2 linked regions of the Alligator mississippiensis genome follow. The protein of the gene in region 2 purifies or fractionates together with the protein of the main gene of each other region. This does not show direct contact. Links are inferred from orthologs where the notes say so. Each region holds a gene or a part of one and is shown on either strand. Other genes may lie near its edges.

The links. The genes of interacting proteins can lie anywhere in the genome.
Region 1: the proteins of DYRK1A (region 2) and TRMT61B purify together in Homo sapiens (affinity purification with mass spectrometry, with the first as the bait; 3 studies listed by BioGRID). This does not show direct contact. The link is inferred for Alligator mississippiensis from reciprocal best matches to the Homo sapiens genes DYRK1A and TRMT61B.

Annotation. Positions count from the first base shown.
Region 1 is NC_081824.1:176,251,697-176,259,542, forward strand, and holds the start of TRMT61B (tRNA (adenine(58)-N(1))-methyltransferase, mitochondrial), read right to left. Parts: upstream 3,017-7,846; 5' UTR 2,908-3,016; coding exon 2,464-2,907; intron 397-2,463; coding exon 294-396; intron 1-293.
Region 2 is NC_081824.1:295,213,401-295,221,450, forward strand, and holds the start of DYRK1A (dual specificity tyrosine-phosphorylation-regulated kinase 1A), read left to right. Parts: upstream 1-5,047; 5' UTR 5,048-5,131; intron 5,132-5,389; exon of another isoform or gene 5,390-5,656; intron 5,657-8,050. UniProt on the Homo sapiens protein: Dual-specificity kinase which possesses both serine/threonine and tyrosine kinase activities. Exhibits a substrate preference for proline at position P+1 and arginine at position P-3.

The sequences.
Region 1 (7,846 bases), about 120 Mb from region 2:
AAGGGTGATGACAAAAATTGAGTGAAATCCAGTCCTGTCCAGAGGGTTAGCACAAGGCCTGTGCAAGATTTAAGTCTTCAAAATACAGTTTAAATGGTTTACAGGGTATATGGTAGCCCTCTGAATTTCAGACTATATAAATAATAGGTATGAATCTTAAAATGCTAAAAACAAGCAAGCTAGTAACTTCAGGCTCCTATTAATGAAAAAGTACCACTTCTTATACTGGAATTGTTTATATTGCTTCTGTAATAAATACACTCCCAGATTTGCTGACACACAGATTTTTTTACCTGCTCTTGATAAAAACAAACTCATTGCACCAGACCCAGAACCACTTTCCAACACGGTGTCCCCTGGATGGATGTCCATCATCAGCAGCATTGCATTAATATCCTATGGGTAAAAACAATTAAGTTGAGAAACCAAGGTCTTATACTGTTTCTTCGAACACTGAGTTGTTAGACTACTTCTTTACATCATGTAACATCTTTATGATTACAAAAACCCAGTGATCTAGGCCAGTGGTTCTCAACCTTTTTCCTACTGGGACCATTTTCAAAGATCCATGGCCTGTTCCGACCCACACCGCCCTGGCCCTGCCAGTGCCCAACCCCCAGTCCCTTGTCTCCCCAGGGCCATACTGGTGTCCCCCAGTGCTGCCAGCCCAGCCATGCAGCTCTCCCCTGCCCCTTTCCCCCGCTGGAAGGGGCAGGTGCCTTCCCACCATCCCTCTGCCCTGCTGCAACTTGTGACCCTTTGAAATATTCTTGCAACCCACTTTTGGGTTGTGACCCACAGGTTGAGAAACGGTGATCTAGGCCATAAAGACAGAATTTATTTTTATGTGAATAGTACTCCTCAATCTAATAAAGCAAATGGCAAATTGTGGTGGTGAAAATAAAAATATGTCTCCCCTCTTCCTTCCCTCCCAAACCACTGCGTGCCTTTTGTTTCAGCGTGAAAGAAGCAACCTGAAAGTAAACTCTACTGATGTTTCCCTACATTTAAAATGCTGGAATATTCCAAATTAGCAGTGAGGTTCTATTACAGAGAGGACATGTACTTCTAATATGAAAAGATTTCAAACAAGGACTGCCTGGCATGCCAAAGGAGCCTGCTGGTCATTTGCCTGTTGGTTGCAGCTAAATAATATATTGTTATATCTATAGACAGATAATCAGAAATAAACGCCCAACTGTAAATTTTACTAATTCTCTGTTCACGGAGAGCCCAGTCTACTACCCTGACCATGGAGTGGGCCCCAGTTTCACAAGCTTTTGGTGACATTTCCCCTGCCAGGAGTAAGACTAGTACCCACCTCTAAACTGCCCTTCTGCCCGAAACCACTGGCATCCTATAGGGTGCCAGGCTATTTCAGCACTGGGTGTCCATCAGTTGCAGGCAGTACCATCGACCAAAAATTATGGTAGCAGGTGAATGTGACCTGCCGGTGTTGAAAATGCAGCTCTAAAGCAACTCCAGAGTTTTTTTTTTGAGGGAAACTGTACACTGGCAGTTCTCAGCCTTTTTTTTAAGACTAGAAGCACCCTCCTCAGAACCAAGGCCACACTGCTGTTCAGTCTCCCAACGGCCCTTGGGTAGCACAAATGCCTGAACTGCCAGTCGGTTTTCCTGTGGAGTTGTGCTAGCACCACCAGCTCCCCGGGCTGGAATGCAGGGTGGCCAGCTCTATCTGAATCTATTCCCAGAGGTGTCCACAAACACAGCACTCCCATGACACACAATGTGAACATGCCACGTCCTTGCATGTACCAGTTACGGATTACGGTGAGCGGATTTTACATCAAGAAGACAAACGCTCGTTACTATCACACTTTAAAAATCCACTGCACCACTATATAAATTGGATTCAACATATTCATTTTAGTGAACGCCCTATTATTTCTCTCCTGGGCGACTCTAGGCAGTCTCCCGGAGATTTACATCTCATTCCTGCAGACTCCGGGGCAATCCTGGAGGGTTGGCAACCCTACTGGAAGGGCATCTAGTTAAGCAAAGGCCAATTTTCACTGGGTTTCCTGACGACGATGAAGTAACAGAGCACTGCTCCTCTGGCAAAGAACGCGGGGCAGGATGGTTTGCACACTCTGGTTCCTATTCACGGGGCCAGACACAGTCATGGGTGAACACTGCCTGGGGCCTGGACAGAAACGGGGCCTGAAAATGGAAATCTTTCGATTATCATTATCTTTGGTGAAGGGGGGCCAATACTAAGAGTCAAATACTAAGAGTCTGCCCGGGACCGCCAGGAGTCTAGGGATGGTGCTGCCTATCCAACAGCTCCGAGGTGCTCCCATGCATGGCATGCGCATGCCGACCCATGCTGGCACCCCCAAAAAGACCTCAGGGCCCGGGGTGTGAACGGCCTCCAGCCCTCGGAGGCTCTTTGCAACCTGCTTTTGCGCCCCAGCTGCGCCCAGCCTGGCCCAAGCCCCTCACCTTGGGATAGGAGATGGTGGGTCCCCTCTTCATGAGCAGCACGAACTCGTCCAGCGCCGGGCGGCGCACCAGCAGGGGCACGCCCTGGGACGTGGCCACCATTTGCCCGGGCAGCTTGCCCAGGATGCGGCCGTGCTCCACCACCCCCCAGCAGCTATTCAGCCGGCCCAGCGCCGTCAGCTGGCACATGCGCCTGAACTCCCCGTGCCGCCTCCTGCGCAGCTCCGCCAGCACCAGCTCCCCGGCCTGCAGGGGCCGCTCCCCGCCCGGCGCCCCGGGCCCGCCCGCGCCCGGCACCGGCTCCTGGAGCCGCTGCAGGGAGCACAGGGCCCGGCGCCGCGCCGCCGCGCGGGGAGAGGCCGCGCCGCCCGGGGCCGCAGCAGGGCCCGGCCCGGAGCAGGCGCCCCGCAGCGCCCGCAGGCCCCAGCCCGCCCGCGGCAGCATGGCCCGACCGCGGCGGCCCACGTGGCTGCTCCTCCCGCCTGGCGCCGGGGCCGGCCCGCCTCCTCCGCCGCTCCCTGCCCCGCCAGGCACCCGGCCACGGCCGGCCCCCTCTGCGCGCCCTTTCGGCCGCTCCGTGCGCCGCCTGCACACGCGCGTCTGCCTGCCCAGGCCCTGTGCTCCCCTGCGGCGCGAGTGAAAGAGAGAGAGAGAGAGTGTGTGCGTGTGTGACTCTCTGCTCCCCTTCTACCCCCCTACCCCGCTCCCCATTAGTGTGTGTGTGTGTAGAACCACATCGACACTTGTGCTGTAATGCACTTTAGGTAACCAGCATTAAATCTTGTGCTTCGAGGCTGCTATACAAGTGCGAACAGCCTGCTGGACATCCAATGTATGGGAGTAGACTGCTGGAACACAGAAACTGAGGTGTTCTAGCAGCCTTCCACATCACCTGTACTAGTGTCCCAGCGCATCTCTGCGCTGACAAAGTGACAGCAAGGGCACTTTGAAATAAAACATGTTTGATGAGCATTAGTTCAAAGCACACTGCCACCATTTTTTCAGCGCGGAGATGCTGATACACGTGACACGCGGGCACTTTTAATAAGCGCAGCTTGCTAACTAAAGTGCCTGGCACCACATCCCACAGCACATGTAAAAATGCCCTCCTCTGCGAGGTACTAGAAAAGGTGCCTTAGCCTGTTTAAATGCACATTAGCTAAAGAGCACATTTTTGTGATGCTTTAATGTACATTAAAATAGGCTAATGTGCATTAAAGCACATGTGTAGAAGCACCCCATGTGATTAGCTAGACAGACAGACCTTTAACCCCCAGGTCCTTTTCTGCAAAACTATTGCTTAGCCAGTCAGTCCCCAGACTGTAACAGTACATGGGATTGTTCTGTCTTAAGTGCAGGACCTCATGAGATTTCTTTTGGCCCAGTCCTCCAATTTGTGTAGGTCACTATGAATCCTAGCCCTGTCATCCAGTGTATCTACTTCTCCCTCCATCCTGGTGTCATCTGCAAATTTGCTGAGCGTGCACTCTATGCCGTCTTCTAGGTAGTTGATCAAGATATTGAACAAAACCAGCCCCAGGACCGACCCCTGGGGCACTCCACTTGATACTGGCTGTCAACTAGACATTGAGCCATTGATTACTACCCTCTAAGCCCAACAATCCAGGCAGTTTTCTGTTCACCTTGCAGTGCATTAATCCAACCTGTACTTCCTTAGCTTGCCTGAGAGAATGTTGTAGGAGATGGTATCAAAACCCTTGCTAAAGTCACTAAATAATCCTATAGGTTCTCCTTACATAGCTCAGAAGGAGGGCTGAAAAGGACTCCACAAGTCATCTAGTGCAATGGTTCTCAACCTTTTTTCATAGATTTCATAGATATTTGGGCTGGAGGGGACCCCAGAGGATCATCGAATCTAGCCCCCTGCCCCAGGGGCCGGAAGTCAGCAGGAATCATAGGATCCCAGCAAGATAAGCAACCAAATGTGTCTTGAAATCATTCAACGTGGGTGCTTGAACTGCCTCCAGCGGCAGTCTGTTCCAAACCTTGGGGGCTCGGACAGTAAAGAAGTTCTTCCTTATGTCCAGCCTGAATCAGTCACAGCTGAGTTTGTGACTGTTTGATCTTGTCATCCCTTGGGGCGCTCTAGTGAACAGACATTTCCCCAGATCCTGATGAGCACCCCTGATAAACTTAGAGGTGGCCACCAGATCACCCCTGAGCCTGTGGTTTTCCAGGCTGAAAAGTCCCATGGCTCTCAGCCTGTCGTCATAAGGTCTGTTTCCTGACCTCTGATCATGTGCGTGGCTCTTCTTAGGACTCTCTCAAGCTTCGCCACATCCTTTGAATTGTGGAGCCCAAAACTGGATGCAGTACTCCAGCTGTGGCCTCACCAAGGCCGAGTACAACAGGAGAATGACATCCAGGGATTTGCTTGAGAAGCATTGATGGATGCAAGCCAGTGTTTTGCTTGCTTTACTAGCCACAGCATCGCATTGAAGGCTCATGTTCATATTGTGGTCAGTCATGACTCCCAAGTCCCCTTCATCTGTAGTGCTAACCAGCGTAGCACTGCTGAACCTATAAGCATGCTGCAGGTTTTTCCTCCCAAGGTGGAGAACCTTGCATTTTTCGGTGTTGAACACCATCAGGTTCTCCTCCACCCATTTCCTGAGCCTGTCAAGATCTGCCTGGATCACCCTCCTGTCCTCAGGTGTGGATGCTTTACCCCAGAGTTTGGTGTCATCAACAAACTTGGCCAGTCCGCTTCTGACACCAATGTCCACATCATTGATGAAGTTGTTAAAAATTAAAGGCCCTAGGACAGAGCCTTGAGGGACCCCACTGGTGACCGCGCACCAAGACGATTGCCTTCCGTCAACCACCACCCTCTGGGTCCTGCCGCGGAGCCAATTCCCCAGCCAGCGGATCGTGGTGAGGTCAAGGCCACAGTTAGCCAGTTTTGCCAAGAGGTGATCATGGGATACCAGATTGAAGGCTTTTTTAAAGTCAAGATATACAACATCAATCTCTTCCCCCTTGTCCAGGTGATAGGTCACCTGGTCATAAAAGGAAATGAGATTGGTCTAGCAAGACCTACCCACAACAAACCAGTGCTGGGTATTCCTCAGGATATTGCAGTCAGCTAGTCTGTTAAGGATGGCTTCTTTGATAATCTTGTCCAAGACCTGCCCCAGGATAGAGGTCAGGCTGATGGGCCTGTAGTTTGCTGGATCTACTTTCCTCCTTTTCTTGAAGATAGGCACCACATTGGCCTTCTTTCAGTCTTCGGGCACTACACCAGAGCGCCAGGAGTTCTCAAAGATCCGTGCCAGGGGCTGAGCTATGATGCTTGCCAGCTGCTTGAGTACCCTGGGGTGTAAACCATCAGGGACGGCTCATGGCCGGCTGTATCAGGACCCATTTGTAAACATTGATGGCTAGTCCTGACCCATACTGGGCAGTAGGTTGGGAGCCCATCACTCCCAACCCACTGCCCACTGCCCCCAGGCCTCAGCCCCACAGTGTGTGGGGCAGGGGAGGGTGTGTGGGGCAAGGGGTTTGTGTGTGGTATAAGCAGCCCCTTGGAGACTGGAACTCTGCCAGCCTGCGAGGGAAAAGCCACAGTTTCCCACGTTTTTCTCCTTTAAAGGAGAATCCATTGTTAAAGTTTGTTGCTCAGTTTTGAAAGTTTGTATGTGACCCTTTCATATATTCTTGTGATGTGCTTCTGGGTCACAACCCATGGGTTGAGAAATGCTGGTCTAGTGCAACTCCCCCTGCCTGAGGCAGACTCTTCCCTAATGTTTTAGCAGCGCCTGACATGTCTGCAGTCCTGGTTTGTCCACTTCAGCCACCAGGCAGGAGCTGGCCTCTTCCATTATAGAATCATAGAGGAGTAGGGCTGGAAGGGAGATCCAGTGGGCACAGGAAAGTGGGGAAGTAGGTGGTGAGGGGATCCTTGAGACCGTCCCCACCCCACACTGCTGTAAACTTAGTTAATAAAGGAGAAATAGAACTGAACTTCTCAGCTGGAAACACCTGAAAGCCTTCGATTGTCACGAGCTACAATACATTCTCCATGTCAGTTGGAAGGGTGGAAGAATGAACACCACGGTTCTGGCTTACACAAATACCAACAGCATCAGACCTGGGTGTATAAGGTACCAGCTTCACTGGGTGGGACATGTTATAATGATGCCTGACAACTGGCTCCCGAAATTGCAACTTGCCAATAGTCTAGAAATGGGCAAATGATGAGATTCCAGGACACCTTGAAGGCCAATCTGAAGAAACATGATAGTAACATCCAAACCTGGGAGACTTGAGCGCTGAATTGTCCCCAGTGGCACCATGAAATAGGAAAAGGCATCAAGTATTCAAGCAAACTTGCTTCACTATGGAGGTGGTTAAGCAAGAGAGACAATGGGAAAGATTTGTGACTTGACATCACCAGGACTCACTACTTTTCCCTGAAACAATTTGCTGTGTCTGTAGTTGAACATACAGATCTTGAATTGGCCTCTTCAGTCATTTCCAGACTCATCAGTGACTTTCCTATCTAATGGAAGACCATCATCCTCATATTGAGGGACTGCCACTGCTGAGTTACAAAACATTCAGTGCATCTTAATGTGTGTGTGTGGTTTGTGGACAATCAATTGACAGTTCAGGGACATGCTTGTAAAAATGATGAGATTTTGAGAAAGCCTCAGTCTCTTTGCACTGGAGCAAAATCCTTCCTGGTGTTCAAGGGGGAAGAATGTTTAAAGCCACAGAGACATGCTCTCAGGGTTGTAGGCAACTGTTAAAAGGGAATACAAATGATTCACAAGTCTGTTGTGGAAATTCACTGGATGCTGAATAATGTTTGTAATTAATTATGAACAAAAAGTTTTGAATTAATGCTAAGTGTTATTTGTTAAACACTTTCCTCGTAGTTGCTGCTATTCATAAGACAGATAAATAAAATAAAAATAAAAGGTTCTCAGGAATTAGTATTAAAATGAAACTTTCCAATCTAACTTCTTGCTTAGACAAAGATAATTTACAGTAACCTTTGGGGACTGTGTAACAAATCATAATGTAAATTTATTTTTAAGTTAATTTTATTGGCATTGTTTGACTGGCATGGCCCTTGACAAAACATACTGCTACATTCTGCTACATTCTGCTACAACTAATGCCTTTTGAAAATTACTAAATATAATACAAAAAATGATCATGTCTTGTAAATATGAATTGAATGGCTAGCAATGGTCAAATGCAGTACCATTTCCATTTACTGTACTTGTTGGGAGAGAAAAAAGGGTCTGGAAATGTAAAAGATTGGAGATTAGGGATTGACTAAACTTTTTGAAGAGTTAAAGCTTTTTGCTTATGCTTTAGTACAATTGGAGCAGTTTCTTTCCATCTGTATTTT
Region 2 (8,050 bases):
GGATGAGGGGATGGAGATAAGGACTGGGCTTAAAAAGTGTCAGACAGAAGAGGCTAGTGGTCTGCTGAGGAAAATGACAAACACCAAGAAAAATTAGTCCTGAAATACATTGGAAAACAGTCACCGACAAAAATTAGTACCAAGCAGTGCAGAAATATGTACTACAGGCAAAGGGAAGGAATGGTTAAAGATAGTATTGCCTCAATTCTGAGAAACTGGAGATTGAAGAGGCGCATTCTGCAGTGGAGAATTTATTTGCTGACCACACCTAAGACATAACTGATAGGAACATTAGATGCCACAAGACAGTGGCCTCAGTGGCCTTGTTTAGTTTGCCTGCTACCTCACTCCTGTTACCATAGCTTTCATGCATGACGAATGTGGAAATGCTTTTGGATTTCAAATATTATCAATGTTATAAATATAAAACCAGTTAGAAAAAAAATAGATTACAGCGGTGGTACATACTGTGATTTTAGGCTTTCTAAAAAAAAATAGTAATCCATTGAAAGGTATCATTGACAGCAGGGGATTAACAATATTCAGTATCTTGTGGGGGTGGTTTCTGTTAGGAGAAGAAAATGAAGATAGAGCCACAGTGATTTAGATGCAATCCTGCTTATTTACAAATAAGGTATGCAACTTCCTGTTTCCTTGAAAACAGTACCTTTTCTCAGGGATGTGTTATAAATTGTTATCTGAATGTTTGTATTTCTTTGCTGCATTATCTTTTTTGCCTCTGATGTTTCTCCTGCCATTGTTTCTTAGTTAACCTTTTTTTCCTTTCCCCACTGTCTCCCCTCCTATTATATCCACCTGTTTCTATGAGGTTTCACTCAACTCCCAGCATAATGTCACTCCTTTCCATGCTTTCTTTTGCTCCCTATTCATAATTTCTTTTTATTCTTTTCTCATTCAGTTCCTTCTCACTTTCTGTGCTGCTTACCTCTTCATAAATGCTCAGACTCCTTTCCCACCCCTCCCAAAATAGTATACAGTTTTGCCTCAAACCCCCAAATTCACTCAGTGGCTCTCACTCACTATCACACAAACACCTTTCTCTCAAATATGGTAAATGCCAAGCCCATGAAAATTCCCTAAAAACTTGTTGGTACATGCAGCCTCTACCCCCACCCCAACCTTGCAAAACTGTTCACACACACACACCCACACACACAGAGAGGCAGGTTCCCCCAAAACTTAGTCCACATGTGACATACTCCATTGGCTTAGCCCACAGAGTTTATATGCATTCTCACTTATTAAAGCAAACAGGCTTCTCTCCTTCCCCAGTTCTTTCATATTATTTCCCCTGGTCATTAGCAATCCCTTTATTTGAGGATCTCTACCACTGCCCACTAATGGGTCTTGAGATGACTTAGGAGTCCAGTCCTTGAGCCATTTATCTGTCCACAGAAGTTACAAGTCCTTCTGTGGGGGAGAACAGGCTGTAGACTAGGATTTCTCTCCTTGTCCTTCCTCCACTTTCTGTTCTCTGGTTTGGGGGTTAGATGCTTTACCTTGAAGATGTCTGCTACTTGGTTAAAGTGGGACTGCTTGGCCTGCTGGCAGCTGCTCCCCCAGCTGCGGGAGACACGGGCAGACTCCACTGGAAAAAAAAAGGATCGGACTCCTTCAGGCACCTGCTGAAAGCAGAAGTGGCCAGGGACCCAATTCTTTTTTTCTGTGGAGCCTGCTCGCCTCTCCTGCAGCAGGTGGGGGGGGGGGGGGGGCAGGGGAGCTGACAGCTGGAACGCAACTACATCTGGATGTAGTTTACTTTACAATGATGCAAACCCCAAAACTGGTGCACATATAATATGTGACACCATTAAGCCACACAAATGACATTTTCGTCATGTGTACAAGCGCCTTAATATATCATTATGGGACAGGGAATATTCTCCCAATATTTACTAGCCTAAGGATATTCAGCGTGAGATTTGCAAAAACCAAAGACTGTTATGTGCCCAATCTGACTTCTGAGGGAACTGGTACTCTGACTCACATAGGAACTAGGGCTTGTCTATGAGAAAGTTATACTGGCTTAACCTAAGGTGTAAACAGAAACCAGTTTGGTTAACTGGGTGCAAACCCAAGCATGTGAACCTTGTTTTGGTTTGAGTTGTTTTTGTCCCCCCTTCCTGTCAGATTGGTGTACTTTGACTTTGTTCCTTATTGATTTCAAATGTCACTCAAACAAAATAATTGTCCATGAAGATAGTTGTACCAGTGCAACCTAATCAGTTTTAAACCTGATTTAAGTTAAAGTGGTACAAATTTCCCCATGCAGACTAGACTTAAGTTTATCAGGTGTGGTGAAGAAAAAAGGCAGTGTTGCAACATCTACAGCAATTTAAAGGAATAAAATAGTTGTGTATTTTATTATATTCTGCATATATTTATGTATATTACCATTCCATTCGATATATTTAGAAATATAACTTATTGCATTTCTCTCACTTCCATTCCATTTTTTCTTTCATCCATTCTGCTTTTTCTCCTTTTTCTTACAGTAGGTCACTAATGGTGGATCATAGTATCATAGTACTTAGGGTTGGAAGGGACCTAAACAGATCATCAGGTCCGACCCCCTGCCCTGGGCAGGAATGGGTGCAGGGATCATATCACCCCAGACAAATATCTGTCCAGCCCACTCTTGAAGACCCCCAAGGTAGGAGAGAGTACCACCTCACTTGGGAGCCCATTCCAGATCCTGGCAGCTCTAACTGTAAAGTAATGTCTCCTGATATCCAGCCTGAACCTTCTCTCTAACAAATTGTGGTCATTATTCCTAGTAACCCCATGTAGTGCCTGGGGGAACAGAGCCTCCCCCAATTCCCACTGATGCCTAGAAGTAGAGGTACAGACATGAACAAGTGTATACATGCGCACATTCCTTTCTCTTTCCTTCCCCACAACTTAATCAGGTTCTCCAAGTGTAAAACTTGGGACTCTTGAAAGCATATCCCACACCAAAACCCTTCTAGGGGTAAGAAAAGGGTTCTTGCTCTTTCTTGGTACCCTCACTTCCTAATGAGAAAATGTGAAACCCTGCAGTAAAAAGCAGAACAAATTCAGTAAGTTCCTAATGTTGACACCTGTTTTCTCCCAGTGACATAGAAAAGAATCATAGAAATCATAGAAAAGTTGGGCTGGCAGCGATGTTCAGGGGTCATCTAGTCCAAACCCCTGCCTAAGGTGGAATCATCTCATGTCAAACCATCCTATACAATCCATAATCTAAACTCTATATAAGACTGCTATCAACCCTGATACAGCAGACCTAACACCCTAACCTGCCACAGGTAAAGCAGGGGAACAATGACAGCCAATGCCCTGCTTCTGTGAATGATGATGTCAATATATGCTCAAGAGATCCTAGGTAGAGGGCCCCTCCCTCCAACAGACAGAGACAAAAACCCCTACAATCTTACCACAGGGTGAAATTCCTTCCTGCCCCCAAATCTGATGACTGGTCTGACCCTAAGCGTAGGGGCAAAACTCTCTAGCCAGGGACCGTTCATCCCAGCAGGAGCACTGGCACACCCCAGTCAATGTTCCCGGCCTTCTTTTTACCTCTCCCCCTGCAGATACTTTCCATCTACCTCTTACCTGCCTGTCTTATACATGGACCTAATCTATGCTATCAAGTCTTGCTGGCAGAACTCCTGCATACACAAGGTTCCCCAGTAGCAGCAGAAACCTCCACTTCTGCTGCATAGATCTTCCCGCACTCTCTGCTGGTGTTGTTCACCTTTTCAACCCATGACTCCTATCCATGCCCATTTCCCCTACCTCTGCTGCTTCCTCTGGTTTCCCCCAGTGAAGGGCCATTGCCACCTGATTTTCGCCAGACTAACACCTTCTTCTCCTCTCACTCTTCCTACACCTCAGACATCTCCTTCATCCAGCCAAGGTTTCTCCATCCTACTTCATCCTCCCAGGCCCAACAACTCTGTGAAAACTCCCCAGCTTAGATGCCTCCTCTTCCCAGTGAGGAAATTTTAGGATCACTAGGAAAAACTTCACAGTCAGGGTGTCCAGATTGTGGAATAAGCTCCCTCCAGAGGTGGTGTGATCACCTACCCTGGAAATCTTCAAGAGGACACTAGACAGTCACCTTGCTGGGGTCACCTGACCCCCAGTTACCTTTCCTGCTTGGGGCAGGACCTGATGATCTTCCAAGATCCCTTCAATTTAAGAAAATCTGCCCTCCCCTGCACCATAGCCCCTGCTCCACCCCACCCAAACGAGGTCATCCCCTTCTCAGCTCAAGGCCCTGTGTGTCCAGAGGCGAGTCCAGGCTCCTCATCCCCAGCATGGCAAGGACCTGCCTACACAAAGAGGCCTTCTGGGGCTACCATGCTGTGGATAACCAGCATGGAGAACACAGCCCTTTGCTCCTCCTGCCGTGTGTGTGAGCATGTGTGACAGTGTGAGAGTGCGTGTGCATGACTATGAGAGCATGTGAGCCTGTGTGACAGCCAGTGTGCATGTAAGCATGTGTTACAGTGAAAGCATGAGAGGGCATGTGTGTGTGGCCACAACAGTTGAGTGTGTGCATGTGCGTGACTGAGAACGTGATTGTGCATGTGACTGTATGGGAAAGCGTGTGACAGTGTGCATGAGTGTGAGTACGTATTTGTGACAGTGTGGGAGTGTATAAGTGTGTGCGCACTGCAGCCCAGCCCACTTCAGCGCCGGTGCGAGCAAGTGCCCGTGCAGCCCGCGCCGCTGGAGGCTGGGCGTGAAAAGGGTCTCCCCTGCCCCCCCCCGCTCCCAGCGGCCTGCAGCACCCGCCCAGCGCCCGCCAAGTTATACCACCACGTGACAGCCGGGCCAAAGGGGGGGGAACTGCGAGGGAACACCAGCAGTTACCAGGGCGACCAAGCCCCGCCTTCACCCCATTCCCTCCCTTCCTACGTCAGCGCGGTCTGCCCTCCCCTCCTAGCATAGACCGAGTCAGGGGCGGGGCCCTGGGCGGTGTGATTGACAGTCTCCATAGCAACAGGCTCGTCCCGTCGCCATTTTGTCAGTTGGCTTTTTTTTTTTTTTTTTCTTTTTTTGAAATCCTTCCCCTTTCCCGCCCGAACCGCCGGTTCCAACACTGGGGGAAAAAAAGGATTCGGTGCGTGACGGGGCGCGCGCATCCCACGCGCGGGGGGGATTGGCTGTGTATGTGTGTGTGTCAGCAGGGAGGTTCGAGGCGGGCGAGTGCGTGGGCCTGGAGGAGCAGCCGGCTCAGCTCGGCTTGGTGGGGGGAGGGGGAGGAGCGCGGCGCGCGCGTGCGGGGAGGGGGGAGCGAGCGAGGAGTTCCCGGGGCTCCGCCCCGCCCCGCCCGCCAACCGCCCCGGCTCGGGAGGGGGAGGGGAAGGGGACACCCCGTAGCCGTTGCCGCCGTTGCTGCCGCCGGCCGCTGCGCAGGTTGGGAGCGCGCGCCATTTTGTGAAGCCATCGACAAATCCGCCCGGTCGGGCAGCGCCGCGGATCCGCCCGCCGGGCCCCGCGCCGCCCCGCCCCGCGGCCGGCCGGCCCGGGCTGCGGGACCGCGGGCAGGCGCTGCAGGGCCCAGGCGGCGCCAAACCCACTCCCGCCGCCGCCGCCTGAGTGACGAGGCCCTGGCCCCGGCCCCGAGCGCCGCCGCCCGCGCACGGTAAGTGCCGCCGGCCGAGGCCCCGCTGCCATCTTAGAGCGGGGAGCTTGGGCACGGCCTGCAGCCGTGCGGAAGAGGAGGGGGCTGCCCGGCCCTGGGCAGCGGCACCGGCACCTGTTGCGGTGGCGGGACCCGGCTCCAGGCCGATGGGCTGTTCGCCCCCGTGAGGACGGGGTTCCCTGGTGAGGCCGGGCACAGCATCGCCCACCTGTTCCCCGCGCCCTCCTCCCGGCCCTGCCCGGCCCGGCCCGGCCCGGTTCCTCCAGCCCCGCAGTCCGCCGTGGGGGGGGTGCTCTGGGCTTCTTATCAACTTGCGAGTTGCCCCTGGATTGTTTGATGAAGGGTGTTGAAGGTTTGGCCCTCCTGCTGTTCCCCAGCCATCAGAGTGCTATGTTTTTATGCTTTTAAGATAAGGAACATAAAAAATTGTCACCCCCAACAAATCAGCAAGCTTCGTGTATTTCTTCACAGCAGCTTCCCCCCCCCCCGCGATAATGTGCTATTATTTATGGCCAGTACTGTATATATTTTTGCAAGAGGGGGCAGTCAGTGTCAAGCGGGGAGCATGCCAAGGTCTTGGAGGAGCAAACTTTGACACACTGTCGCTAAGGTGGCAACTTCTCAGTGGCCTTGCCTGCTTCCCTGAGAATGAGTGCTGGGGAGGACACCTGGGTGATGCCTGATGTCAAAACTGGTGCATTTTGTTTGTGGTCATAGTTAATAACCTTAAACATTAGTGAAAGCTGTTTAACTCATCACAAATGAGAATGGCGTAGCCCTCCTGACACGTTTGGCCAAAACTCCCCCCCCCCCCCCCCCCCCCCCCCCAAAAAAAAAAGATATAATTGAAATAATTATACTGTTCGGGAGTAAAGTTTTGTAAGTAATCCTGCATGTACCCATCTCGCGTTCAAATAGTTACTTGTCGATTGCTATTCTGGATATATTTAGTGAAACACATAAATAAATAGATTACTTTGTAGACTAGTGTCATCAACTCATAAAAATGAAGTATTTAAAGTCAAGGCGTGCGTTCATTTATTTGAAGTTTACATGTGTGATGTGTTAGATTTATGTTTTCATTCCATTTCAGTTTTTTGATACTTCTCTAGCAACAAATGTTCAAGGCTTTATGCAATCTGTGCATGGGTCTTGACAGTTATTTTTAATAAAAAATTGTTCCATGTTTGAAGTTAAATGAGAGCTGTTGCTTTTCTACCCTTCCAAATGAGATGGTTCCCTAATTTAAGTTTTCTAAATGTTTTTTTTTTTTAAATAAAAGTGCTTTGGTATTTGTTTCTAGGTGTCAGAAGTATGGCAGAATTATAGTTACTAAATCAGGGTTTGCATAGGTCTAGACTAGGTTGCCTTGAGATCCTTTAAAGGGTGCCACAGGGTACGATACAATGTTAGCTTAGTTGTGTGCTGGCATGATTCACAAGATAAACCCATAGATTTCAAATAGGAATCCATAACGGTAAAGCTGTTGTGGTCTTTCTGAGTTCTTTGCATCCAAAGACTTGCTACAAAAAAAAAAAAAAGAGTGAAACCTAGGAGTTGGGATTTTCTGAGGGGTGCCCTCAAAAGGTTTAGAACCAGTGGCTCAGGCCTTAACATCTTGGCTTTGCCATTGTGGACAGCTGTAGGGAAAGAGGAGCAAGAGCAGTTTTCTGAAATAGCGAAAAAAAGATTTCTCTGCTTGCTACGTGTGCTCCAAAAGAACTCCAGTTTACAACTGGTATTTCATTTTTGGTGTGAAGGCAGTGATGTAGTAGTGCCTGAGCATGTACCCATTTTTAGAGTGCTGTGGGCTTTATCTATAATAGGGTTTAATATATGAGGTTAATTGATGCATTCTAGCTGTTATTTTAATATCCTATGCAAGGCATATAGGACATGCTACCTTCACTATCTGGATGAAAGTTTTTAAAAGTTAGCCCGTGTTTGCTAACACATTCTGATAGCACACGTTAAAACCTTACTTTAGACAAGGCCTTAGCAAGAAACTTGTGACTGAGTTGAAAACATATACTACTTTTGTCCACAGATGATTCATCTGAGGACAGAAGTAGTGTATGTTTTCAGCCTCATTAGTTTAACAGGGTACTTTTTAATATAGAGGCTAACACATTTGCTTAGCTGTTTCTGTTGCCCACAGCACAACCAGCAAACGTAGGGGCGTATTAAACTTAGCTGAAAAGCATGCCCCTTTTCCTTTATAGCATACATACATTATTCTGAACAGAAATGGGTGGCGCATTCAAAGCTAAAATGTTCAGAAAACCAACTATGCTGCTATAGTTTAGGTAATGTCTTCAGTTTCCCTTCAGAAACTCTTTATTTTGAGGTGTTCATAATGTCATACTGAAAGTTGTGCTACCAGCTTAAGTTTGG